Linked DNA regions of Alligator mississippiensis. The protein of the gene in region 3 purifies or fractionates together with the protein of the main gene of each other region. This does not show direct contact. Links are inferred from orthologs where the notes say so. Each region holds a gene or a part of one and is shown on either strand. Other genes may lie near its edges.

Evidence for each region.
Region 1: the proteins of AKT1 (region 3) and ILK purify together in Homo sapiens (affinity purification with western blotting; 3 studies listed by BioGRID). This does not show direct contact. The link is inferred for Alligator mississippiensis from reciprocal best matches to the Homo sapiens genes AKT1 and ILK.
Region 2: the proteins of AKT1 (region 3) and TUBB purify together in Homo sapiens (affinity purification with mass spectrometry, with the first as the bait; 3 studies listed by BioGRID). This does not show direct contact. The link is inferred for Alligator mississippiensis from reciprocal best matches to the Homo sapiens genes AKT1 and TUBB.

Annotation. Positions count from the first base shown.
Region 1 is NC_081824.1:483,477,978-483,481,717, reverse strand, and holds the start of ILK (integrin-linked protein kinase), read right to left. Parts: upstream 2,615-3,740; coding exon 2,526-2,614; intron 1,939-2,525; coding exon 1,773-1,938; intron 1,554-1,772; coding exon 1,458-1,553; intron 1,380-1,457; coding exon 1,283-1,379; intron 1,148-1,282; coding exon 1,064-1,147; intron 905-1,063; coding exon 819-904; intron 586-818; coding exon 476-585; intron 320-475; coding exon 192-319; intron 93-191; coding exon 1-92. Other genes in the region: RRP8 (ribosomal RNA-processing protein 8), read left to right, coding at 3,035-3,723. UniProt on the Homo sapiens protein: Scaffold protein which mediates protein-protein interactions during a range of cellular events including focal adhesion assembly, cell adhesion and cell migration.
Region 2 is NC_081834.1:57,380,044-57,383,783, forward strand, and holds the start of TUBB (tubulin beta chain), read right to left. Parts: upstream 2,579-3,740; 5' UTR 2,452-2,578; coding exon 2,395-2,451; intron 1-2,394. UniProt on the Homo sapiens protein: Tubulin is the major constituent of microtubules, a cylinder consisting of laterally associated linear protofilaments composed of alpha- and beta-tubulin heterodimers.
Region 3 is NC_081825.1:289,116,842-289,120,581, forward strand, and holds the start of AKT1 (RAC-alpha serine/threonine-protein kinase), read right to left. Parts: upstream 2,477-3,740; 5' UTR 2,306-2,476; intron 1-2,305. UniProt on the Homo sapiens protein: AKT1 is one of 3 closely related serine/threonine-protein kinases (AKT1, AKT2 and AKT3) called the AKT kinase, and which regulate many processes including metabolism, proliferation, cell survival, growth and angiogenesis.

The DNA.
Region 1 (3,740 bases), on a different chromosome or scaffold from region 3:
GGGGATGAGGGGCTCCAGCGTGTGCAGGAAGGCCATGCCCCGCGCAATGTCCAGCGCAAACTTCACAGCCTGCATCTGGTCCACCACGAAGTCTGCGGGGGGAGACGGGCGGTGTCGGTGCTGGGGGGAGGACCGGGGATGGGACCGCCTCCCACCCACCGCTGCGAGCCCCTCCCCATGCCCACACTCACTCGTGCCCTCGTGCAGCACGTTGTAGAGGGATCCGTAGGGCATCCAGTGTGTGATGATGATGGGGTGGGGCGCGGGTGGCGCCTGGCAGGCACCCAGCACGGGCAGCACGTTGGGGTGTGAGAAGATCCTGCAAGAGGCTGGGCCTGAGCACCACAGACTCCCCCCGGTCCATCCCCACCACCCCGCCCCTCACACTCCAGCCTTGGCCCAGCACCGCCGCCTGCACCCCTGCCCAGAGATGTCCCCCCACCCCTCCATCCCGCGGCCAGGCCCTCGGCCCCACCGGAGCTTGGGGTACTCCTCGTTGAAGTCGCGGCTCTTCCGAGTCGTCCAGTCCCGAATCTTCAGCACCTTGATGACGATGTCATTGCCCTGCCAGCGCCCCCTCCACAGCTGCTGAGACACAGACAGGGTCAGCGGGGGCGGATCACGGGGTCCGGGGACCCTCTGCTCTCCCCACCCTGCCCCCAGGGCTGTGACCCCCTGTGCAGGCGGGAGGAGGGCACGCACGGACTAGGGGATGAGCCCCAGACTGCAGGAGTGATGGTAGCAGAGTTGAGGCCTGTGCCCCAGCCAGGGGCTGGGCAGCCCCCAGGGCTTGATGCCCTGGCCCCTGCCATGCACACCTCTCCAGAGTGGTTCTCGTTGAGTTTGTGGCCCAGGTTCAGCTGCTTGAAGTCGATGCCGGCCAGTTTGTTCAGGGTCCCATTTCCTGCAAGCACAGAGGGGGAGTCTGGGAAGAGCTGCCCAACTCCCCCCCCAAACTTCCCCACCTCTGCAGCTGTGGGGGGCTGCCAGTGGGCGACCCCAAGAAGCCCCCTGCAAACAGAGAAGTGCCCCCAACCCACCCCTGTGGTGGCAGCAAGCTTACGTGGCCGGGTGCGGGTTGTGCCCTTCCAGAAGGTGTCCTTGTAGGGGATCTTGGTCAGGCTCTGGCCCAGCTTCTCAGCCCGCTCTGCGGAGAGATGTGCGCTGGGTGCCGGGGTCTGCGGGAGAGACCGGGCACGGCCAGGGCAGAGGGTGTGTGCCTGGGGCAGGACACGAGGGGGTGGCGGGCTGCGGCCCAGGACAGGGCGGGGGCAACATTTACCTTTGAGAGCCTCTCGGAGCGGGACCTTGGCCTTGTCCAGGGGCATCTCGCCGTACTTGTTGGAGATGCTGACCAGGGCCCCGCTGCTCACCAGGTCCTGTGGGTAGGGGGAGGGTGAGACCCCGGCCCTGCAGCTTAGTGCCCCCAGCCCCCCCGCCGGGCCGGCAGGGCTCACCTCGGCCACCTGCTCGTGGCCCCAGAAGCAGGCGTAGTGCAGCGGCGTGTTCCCGTGCTCGTTCACCGCGTTGATGTCGGCCTTGAACTGGATCAGCTGCGGGAGAAGCCGGGGACCTCAGTGTGGGGGGCGCTGGGTCCCAGTTCCCTGCTCCCAGTGACGGGGCACATGGGGTCCTGGGAGCAAAGGGGGAGGGGCAGGGCGCTGACAGGTCCTGGGGCATTGTGGGGGCCCCAGCGTGGGCACTGGGGGGATTGTGGGGTGCTGAGGAGTGCTCTGTGGGGCGAGGGGTGCTGCGGGGGTGCCGGTCGGTACCTTCTGCACGATGTCGCGGTGGCCGTGGCTGGCCGCCAGGTGCAGGGGGGTGTCGTCGCCCCGGTTCATGACGTTGATGCGCGCCCCCCGCATGATCAGCATGTCGACCACGTTGGAGCGGCCCTCGCGGCAGGCCCAGTGCAGCGGGCTGAAGCCGTGGTCATCCCTGGGGGAGCGCGCAGGGGGGTGAGTCCTGCACCCTGCGCGGAGGCTGGTGGCGGCTGGAGCCGGACCCCAGGCACAACGGGGGCATCCCGGGCAGGGGCAGGCCGACGGGACAGCGCCAGGGGCACCGCGGCCTCAGCCTGGGGCACACGGGGCAGGGGGGACTGGGGCAGAGGTGTGCGCCTGCAGCCCCCGGCCCCGTCGCAGGCGCTGGGGCTGCTCCGGAGGGCGCGGACAGGACCCCCCCTCCACGCTCCCTGTGCCGCCCGTGCGGGAGGAGGCGACGCCGGGCCTTAAAAGGAGACTGTGGCCGCGGCGAGGGGCTGCCCCTCCCCTCCTTCCGCCCAGCCCCAGCCCACCGCACCCTGTGCCCGGTCCCGCGCACGGCTCGGCCCGGCTCCGGCTCCGGCGCACCGACCGGACACGGGGTGCCGGCCGCAGCCCCCGGCCCGGGGGGCGCAGGGCAGAGCGGGGGGCTCGCGTCCCCTCCCCGCTCGCAGGAGCCTCGCGCCTCGGCGATGCGGTCACTTCCTGCTGCGGCCGGAGCGGCCCCGGCCCCGGGCTGCGGGCGGCCCCGCGCTCACCCACCCCTGGTTGAGGTCGTTCTCCGTGTTGTCCAGCCACAGGCGCACGGCCACGGCGTTGCCCTCGCGGCACTGCGTGAAGATGTCGTCCATCGCGGCTCCTGCGGGGGGGGGGGGGGTGTTTTAGGGCGGGCATCCCCGCGACCTCTGACCCCGCTGCCCCTGCTCCCATATGACCCCGGCCCCGGCCTCTCCCCGCACCCCTTGCTGGGCAGCGCGGGGGGGTCACGAGTGTCCGGTCTCGGTGTCGGTGTCGGTCTCAGCCGCCCCCGCCCCGGGTGATCCCGCTCCGGCCCCCGCGCCGCGCACCGGTCCCGCACCCGCCCCGCGCACCCCACCCCACCCCACCCCGTACCCCGCACGGGTCCCGCGGCGGCTCCGTCGCGTCGGGCTCGGGCTCGGGCGGCGGCTCCGGCTCCGGCTCCTGCTCCGCTCCGGCTCCGCCCCCGCAGCGGCCCCTGGCGGCGGCCCCGGGACCCGCGTCGCGCCCGCCCCGCCCGCCCGCCCGGGGCCATGTTCGCCGAGCCCGCCTGGGACCGCGATGCGGGGGGCGCCCCCGACCCCGCTCCCCGTCCCGCTCCCCGTCCCCGCCCCGCGCCCGCGCCCGCGCCCGCGCCCGGGCCCCGCCGCCTCCGCGCGCTGCTGCGGCGCCTGGAGGCCTCGGGCCGCTGCGACCGGGACGGGGACGGGGACGGGGACCGGGACGGGGGCAGCAGCTCCGGCTCCGAGCACGAGGCCGCCACGCGCCCCCGGCCCCGGCCCCGCGCTCGTGCTCCAAGCTGCCGGGAGCAGCAGCCGGAGCCGAAGCCCGAGCAGGAGCAGGAACAGGAGCCGGAGCCGGAGCCGCGGCTGAGCCGGCAGCAGTGGAGGAACCGGCAGAAGAACAAGCGGCGGCAGAAGAACAAGTTCAAGGCCCCGGGGGAAGCACAGCCAGACCCTGATCCGGAGTCACACCCGGAGCAGGAGCAGGAGCGGGTCTCGGGGCGCGCGGCGGCGCTGCGGGCCCGCATGGAGGCGCGGCTGGAGGCCGCCCGGTTCCGCTACCTGAACCAGCAGTTGCAGGCGGGCAGCAGCCGCCAGGCCGCCCGCCTGCTGCAGCGCGACCCCGAGGCCTTCGCCCTCTACCACCGCGGCTTCGCGCGGCAGGCGGCGCGCTGGCCCGAGCAGCCCGCGCAGCGCGTCGTGCGCTACCTGCGCCGCCGGTGAGCACGGCGCCCGC
Region 2 (3,740 bases), on a different chromosome or scaffold from region 3:
CTCTCTCAAGGACTGGCATCTGGTGTAGGACTGGAAACGCACAGAATCAAAGTCATTTGGGGGAAAACTGGCAGTAAAAAAAAAGAGGCAGGCTTCAATCTCTTGAGAGTGGGCACCTGGAATAGGGTTGGGGAGTTAGAAAATAAAAACAGAGAATCAGCTCATTTTGGGAGGAGAGGGAAGGAAGCAGCCTTGTCTGTAGCCATCTCCAGCTCAAAATAACCCCCCACCACCCCCCAGCCTGGCTCTTGAGGTCTTTATAAGGGAATCCAGCTCCAAAAAAAAAAACAAAAAAAAGAAAAGAAAAAAAAACCAAAAAAAAAGTCAAACTCCTATTTGGAAGGCAAGTAAGAAGTGGGAGAGAAAAGCCCTGATTCAGGCAAGAATGAGGCAGCTCCCAGCAGTTTCCGGCCACAAAGATGATCTGGACCCGCCCAGGACATCTGCAATTGCATTTTAAAAGCCAGAGCCAGAAAGGAAGGGGGAGGGGAAATAATCCCAGAGGCCTCCGGCTGGGGATGACCGCATTCACCAAGATGTCTGGCTGGCTCACCACCTCCGCCTCCTTCCCCCAACAGCAGCCATTACAGAGAGGCACAAAGAAAGTAGTCTCAGCCCTTGAGATCCCCTAGTCACTGGAAAGGGAAAGGAGGGGATCTGATCTAGCTGGGGAGATCCTGGCACCAGGGGAGCTGCACCCACTACATCCCCTTATAACTAGAGGGTGGAATGGTTCCTGATCTGGGCACTGCAAGCTGGGGGAAGGAAGCAAACCAAATCTCAGACCTGGTCCCCAAACAGATCCCATTGAAAGGATCCAGCCTTGAGCAAGGAGATCCCTGCAGAGCCCAGCCCAGGGGAGAGGGGAGCCACCCACTTACCAGATCCCCCTTATACCTAGGAGGTGGAGAAGGAGAATGGATCCCAAATGCAGGTACTGGGAGACTGGGGCAGAGCTGTGGTATCAACCCTGAGTCCCTTGAATGGGCAAAGACTCCAGCTTACAGATCCCTGCAGACTCTGGCCCAAGGGGAAGGGGGGGGCTAGATCCCCTTATAACTAGGAGGTGGAGGAGCAGATTCCCCTCTGGGTGCTGGGAGACAGGTGAAAATAGTCAGTCCAAGCTTGGGGACCAGCCAGATCCCATTGAAAGGGGAAAGGATCCAGCTGGAAGACCCCTGCAGGTAGAGGGGGAGAGAACCCGCCTTTGCAGCCATGTGCTTGTGCAGACAAAAGAGGGTGGGGGAAGCAGCAAATCCTTGGCAGCAGGGAGTGCCAGAGGCTGGGGGCTGCCCCCACCCCGGATCCACCAGGAGCAGAGCGATACCCCTCCCACACACACCTTTTTTGGCAACTTGGTTTCCAAGCCGCCTCCTCCCGCGGCTACAGTGTGACAGGTCGGCACCGCGGACACTATGTAGCAAACCCGGATCGAGCAGAACGACCCTGCGGGGCGGGTGGGGAGGGGAAGGCAGGTACCGCGAGCAGCCCGCCGCCCCTTTTAATGCGGATTAAGCCGGCCCCGGAGGGAGGCAAAGCCGAGGCACGGGGCTGAGGCCAGGGCCAAGTTCACGGCCGGGGCCAAGTTCGCGGGGGGGGGGGGAATCCACCAGCGAGACGGGGCGGACCGGAGCCGGCGAGGAGGGGCTGAAACTGAACAGCCCAGAAAGCAAGAGGGGCTGAAATGGACCACTCCCGCGCCCCCACAAAGGGGGAGGGGCTGAAATTGATCGGGTCCAAAACGAACGTGGGGGAAGGAGACTGAAATTGACCCCCCCACTCCCCGCAAAAAAGGGGGTGGGGCTGAAATGGACCAAGTTTCTAGTACCACCCAGGAGCGGGCCCGATCCCCGCCGAGCTACGCCCCCTCCCGATGGAGAGAAGCCCCCTCCCCAGATCGGGCTGCCGCCGCCCCGCCCCAGATCAGGGCGCTTCTCTCCCGCCGGCGCGTCCCCAGCAGGAAGCCTCGTCCCGCTCCGAGCCCCCCCGCCCCGCCCCGCCGGGGGCGGCTCCTGGTTCAAATCGCGTTCCCTCCCCCCGCACGCGCGGGTTTGGCGCGCAGCAGAGTCCTCCCCTCCCCCCGCGGCCGGACCGCCCCACCCCGCCACGCGCTCCCGCCGGCTGCTCCGCGGGCCGGGTCTCCCCGCGCCGCCATCAGAGGGGAGTCTCTAAGGCTGGGGGGGAGAGGGGGACCCGGACCCCCAGACACCCCCCCGCCCCCTCTCTCGTTTTAAACGGGTTTCCCACCCCCGATCTCCCGGGCGAGTTAAAGGAATTTGTCCAATTTAAAAAGCGCCAAATCACCCCCCTATAGGCACCATCCGGCCCTACGAGGCGCGATCCCCTATCCCCGGAGGATCTGCACAGGTCCGAGCAAACCGGACCCCGCCTCACCTTGGCGCCGATCTGGTTACCGCATTGGCCGGCTTGGATGTGCACAATTTCCCTCATCTTGCAGGACCTTTTTGCCCCCTTTTTGACGGTGCGACGCGCCCCTTTAAGGGTAGAACGCTGCGGAGCCCAAGTTTCCTCCTTCCGAACGCGGCGGCGTCCAACGTTCTAAAGGGCTGGTAAAAGGCGGGGGCTGATATAGACAAAGCTTTTATAGCCTGGCCGGCGGCCAGGCCCCTGATTGGTCGGCTGGGATCAGCCGGGCGGGGTCTGATTGGCCAGAAGGGGATCGCACACGTGATAGCGGGCGGGAGTGGGGAGCCAGCAGGGCAGGGTGGGGTCCGTGCAAAGGCTGCTGGGAGTTGTAGTCACCTTTTGTTCTGGAGGGGTGGGTGGGGTGCTTCTGGCAATACTGAACCCCAGAGGTTTTCCCAGGCTGGGGAGGGAACCAGCAGTCCGGGTCCCTACCCCGCCCCCACAGAGAACCAAGGGTCTGGGCCCCGACCCCGCCCCCGAGAACCAGGGGTCCGGGCCCCTACCCCGGGTTCCCAGCCCAGCCCCCCGTCGGGGACAGAAGCAGCGGGAAGGAAGGAAGCGCCTGGGGAAGGGAGCAGAGGCAGGGCCTGGGAAGGGAGAGGGAACCCAGGCGCCCGGGATTGGCCCCGCCCCCACTGCCCGCTGATTGGGGCTGGCAGTGTCGCAGAGCTGGTGCAGGGTGCGGCTGGGCGGGGAGGAGCTGGCGGCCGGCCTGGGCTCCCGGGGAGGGGGCGGGGCCGGCTCATTCCTAGATCGCTCATCACCGCCCTGTTGGCGACATGTTGTCCCCAGGGTCCAGCCCCAGGCAGGTCCCGCTTGCCCCGGACGCCTGGGGTCTCCGGGACGGAGTGGGGGCTGGGGGGGGGGGCGGACGCCTGGGTTCGTCGGACACAGCCCTGAGTCTCCCCCAGCTGAGTTCCAAGCAGTCCCACCCCTGGGGACCGGCCGCAGCCCTGCTAGAGTCGGAGGCAGAGAGGGATGGGCGGGCACCCGCTGCCCTTTCACCAAGGAACCCAGGGGTGCTGGCTGCCACCGGCTGCATCCCCCACCCGCAAAGGACCCAGGTGTCCGGCCTCCCAGCCTCCTTTACCCCACTACCCTGCCACCTCCCAGCCCCCCCTTACCCCACTGCCCTGACCCCCCCTCCCAGCCACCTTTACCCCACCGCCCTGACAGACCTCCTCCTCTCCCAGAGCCGGAGGGGGAGCCGGGCATCCCTGCTGCAATGTGTTTGCTGCACCCCTTCCCAGCTGGGGCAGAGAACTCGGCTCCCAGCCTCTCCCTCATGACTACAACCAGGTGCGCCCAATTCA
Region 3 (3,740 bases):
ACCCTAGAAGTAAATTAATGTTTATTATTAGTTATGGCCAAAATGAGAGAAGGTTCCCTTTTGCACAAGCTGAACAAAAATGGATGACTGTTACCCTCATCTATGCAAATCTAGGAATGGTTCCCAGTGACGCAGGGCATCTGAGATGACTACAGTCTGACTTATCTAACCTGTGAGAGAATGCATATGACAGTGTTGTCAAGAACTGGAGATAAACAATTAGCCCTTTCTTTTTTATTAATTTTATAAATTTGTTTCTATACCACCTTATTCTATACTATATCATCACCTACACTCACCAGTCAGAAACGCTGTAAGTACAATAAATAATGGATGGCATATTAATCTTGTACCCCTGCATATGTTATTCTATTAATATGGGGGACAGCTAGTAAGAACATGCATAAAAATGGTGAAAATTCAATAAACTATTAATTTTAAACATGCATCCCTTCCTTATGTACTAGCACAATAAAACCCGTCTTAAAGAAGCCATGCAAATGAATCTGCCAACAGAAGGCGGAGTGAAGCTGTATTTGGGACAGCCTTTTAGGGCTGGGTGCTCTTTTTTTAACATCTTTGTATCTTTCTAATGCACCCCTCCCTTTTGCCTTCCAAGATGGTACAAAACTAAAAGATGCACCTGATCTTCCTTTCTTCCTTAGGCTGAGATCTTACTTTTCTCTTAGTCTCTATACATATTCTGCACAGCCAGGTTGTGCTCATAGAAAAGCAAAGCAGGAGGGGAAACACCATTATTTCTCCACAACTCTTGAGTTGAAACTATAGCCTAATGGACGGTGCAGATCTAACGGGTATCACCCCACCCTCATGTGAGGCAGTGTGTGGCAGGGTAGACGCAGACAACGTGAGCTTTATCCCTTCTGCCCCTGCCCGGCTTTGTGTGTTGGAGCATCTGTGAAACTATGACATGAAACACATCTCCTACATGCTTGACACAAAATCAGCCACCACTCCTGTACAGAACCAGTGATACCAATGCACTCAAAGCCCCTGTTCTCTTAACAGGTTGGGGGGGGGGGGGCAGGTCAGATTTGACCCAAAGCCCTCAAGCTGCAGGAGCTCACTTTCAAGAAAGCCTAAAATGGACCACCAGTCTGTTTCAAAATCTTACTTCAGGTTTTAAAAATGTAACAGTGGCCCACCAGTTTTGTGTGGTTAGTGATGCTTCTTGCTAGTGCAGAAGATGCTCCGCTTTGAACACCACCACATAAAACCCAGACTGTCATTACTATACATGTGGCTGATCACAAGGTTTGGGAAGCTTGTCCTGATATTACAAAGGGAAGTTGACAGCAATATAAACTGTCTCTTTTTTTTTTTTTTCTTCCACACTGCAAACTTAACCTAGGCTTCCACATTGCAATTAGCAACTCCTAGTGCTCTCCAATGCATAGTGAAAAACAGATAGGATGTTAATTGTGTTCAGGTGTGGGACCAGGGTTACAAGTTCAGCTCTCTACCTTGCAACACAGCGGGGACCAACCCTGGAGGAAGCATTCGGAAACTGCGGGAAAGGGAGAGAATTGCTCGATTCTCTCTGAAATTCATCAGGATAGACAGGACGCTCTTTGCTTATACCTCTCTGACAAGAAATACGCCTCTTTACACTCAAGGGAGAAAAAATGGGGGGGCCACAGGGCGCCGTTACTCGAACCCCGCCAGCTGGCAGGTGCGCGCTGCCCCGTGATACCCCTACCAAAGTTTTGCTCCGTCTCTCGTGAGGCTCAAGCAAGCCCTAAATTATTTAAATTCGCAGTAAAAGCCAGAGGCCCGGGAGGGGGGGAGGGGGGGAGGGACAGCGAGCTTCCCAAACACGCTCCAACCTGGCGCGTCGCGACTGCTGCTGCCCACACGCGCGCGGGCATTTGGGCACAACAGCCGCGCGCCCAACCTACTCGAAGAAAAGCACAAGTTAGTGGCACAGAAATCTCGAAACCCCCCGCCCGCCCGCCCGCCCGCGGGGGCCGACAGCTCGCCCCCTCCCCGAGCCCCTGGGGAAACCAGAGCAAATTCGGAAAGGACGCCTGGCGCCCTGGGGGGCCGGGGGCAGCCGCAACAGGCCACCAAGTGGCACCGGCTCCACGTGGGGGCGAGGCAGGGGGTCTCTGGAGGGGGCGAGGCCGCCTGCCCTGGGAGCTGGGGGAGGCCGGGAGGCGCCTCCCGCCCCTCAGAGCCCGGCCCGGGCCGCAGGGGAGGGCGAGCCGGGCTCCCGCGGGAGGGCAGGACAGGGCAGGGCAGGGCCCAGGCGGGCGGGCGGCCCCGCACAGGCCCCGGCACTCACCCGGGCAGCGGCTCCTCGGCGCGGGCCTAGCTGGGCGGCTGCAGCCTCCTGCTCCGGCCGCAAACCATCCCCGGGCGGCGGCGGCGGCTGGCGCTGGGGCTCAGCCCATGGGGCCCGGGCGGGCGCTGCTGCTGCTGCCGCTGCCCGGCGGCTCCTTCCCCGCCTCCCTTCGCCCGCCCGCCCGCCCGCCCGCCTTCCCTCCCGGGCCGGGCCGGGCTCGGCGCCCCCTCGCGCAGCCCGTCTGCTCCCAGCGCTGCCGCCGGGTCCTACCGCCGCCCGCCTGTCCGCCCGCCCGCTCGCCCACCCTGCGCGGGGGCAGCCTGCGGGTCTGGAGGAGGCGAAGCAGCCCGGAGCCACCCCGGGCCCTGCCGCAGGGAGGCTGCAAAGCCTGCTCCTGGAGCCTGGAGGGGTGGGGGGAGCAGTGTTTCATCCCCAGGGTTTCACACTAGGCCTCTGCCCCCTTACATGTATTGCGTGTGTCCGGCTTTCGTTTGACCACGGTGGCCCCCCTGCTCGGTGGGGCGCGAGGAAGCCAGCCCCGCCGCGTGGGCAGGTGTTTGCGCGCGACTAGACCAGGCCGTGAGGTCGGCGCCGGTCGTGGGGCTCGAGGAGCGGTGTGGGACACACGCCGAGGTCGGGCCCACGCCACCTCCGTGCGCCGCATCGGCCTTGCGCCACCCCAGCCGGCCCTGCACGGTCCAAGTAGCCCGGGGGCTCCCCACTGGTTTGGAAATTTGTCATTAAGAGAGCAGCAATGACCGGCCGCTGCTTCCCTACTGCCCAATATTTGGACCCGTGGATTTGGCCCTCAGGCTGGGGCTTGAGCGCGCCGGGCTGCACCGTAAAGTTATCAGCAGTGGTTCTCAGCCCTTTGTTCGATTCAAGGCCCCACTCGGAAAATGACCTTGCGCTCATTTTATGACTACGGGAATAATAACAGAGCATTTTTTCTCTTGCGAAGACCTCGGAAAAGCCTCCGCAGGTCAGCGCGGTTTTAACGCTCTAGATTCCTATTTGAAATCTCTGACCGGGTCCAGACATGCAGGGACATGCGGGCTGCGGTGCCACAAACTGGATGAGGCAAACGTTAAAAAGTGCCCTGTGCTGCAGTGCAGGGTCAACATTTACTGCTGGGATTTCCCGGTAGCAGAAAAACCCCAAATGGAACAAAAAGCAGTGCAACACACATACGACAAGCACGCACAGAGGCCAGGCCACCTAGAGCAATACTCTGACTACCGCCTAGGCCTCGGTACTGCCCAACCTGTACCCCTGCTGCTCCAGGCCACCAGGTAAGACTAGTGCTGGCCCTACTGGTACTGAAGAGCCAGGGGGAGCTGGGCAAGGGTAGTCTGCTCATTGCAGGACAACTTATCCCACAACAAAGCGCACATGCAGGGGTGTACATTATGGCAATTTATGCCACTGCAAGTGC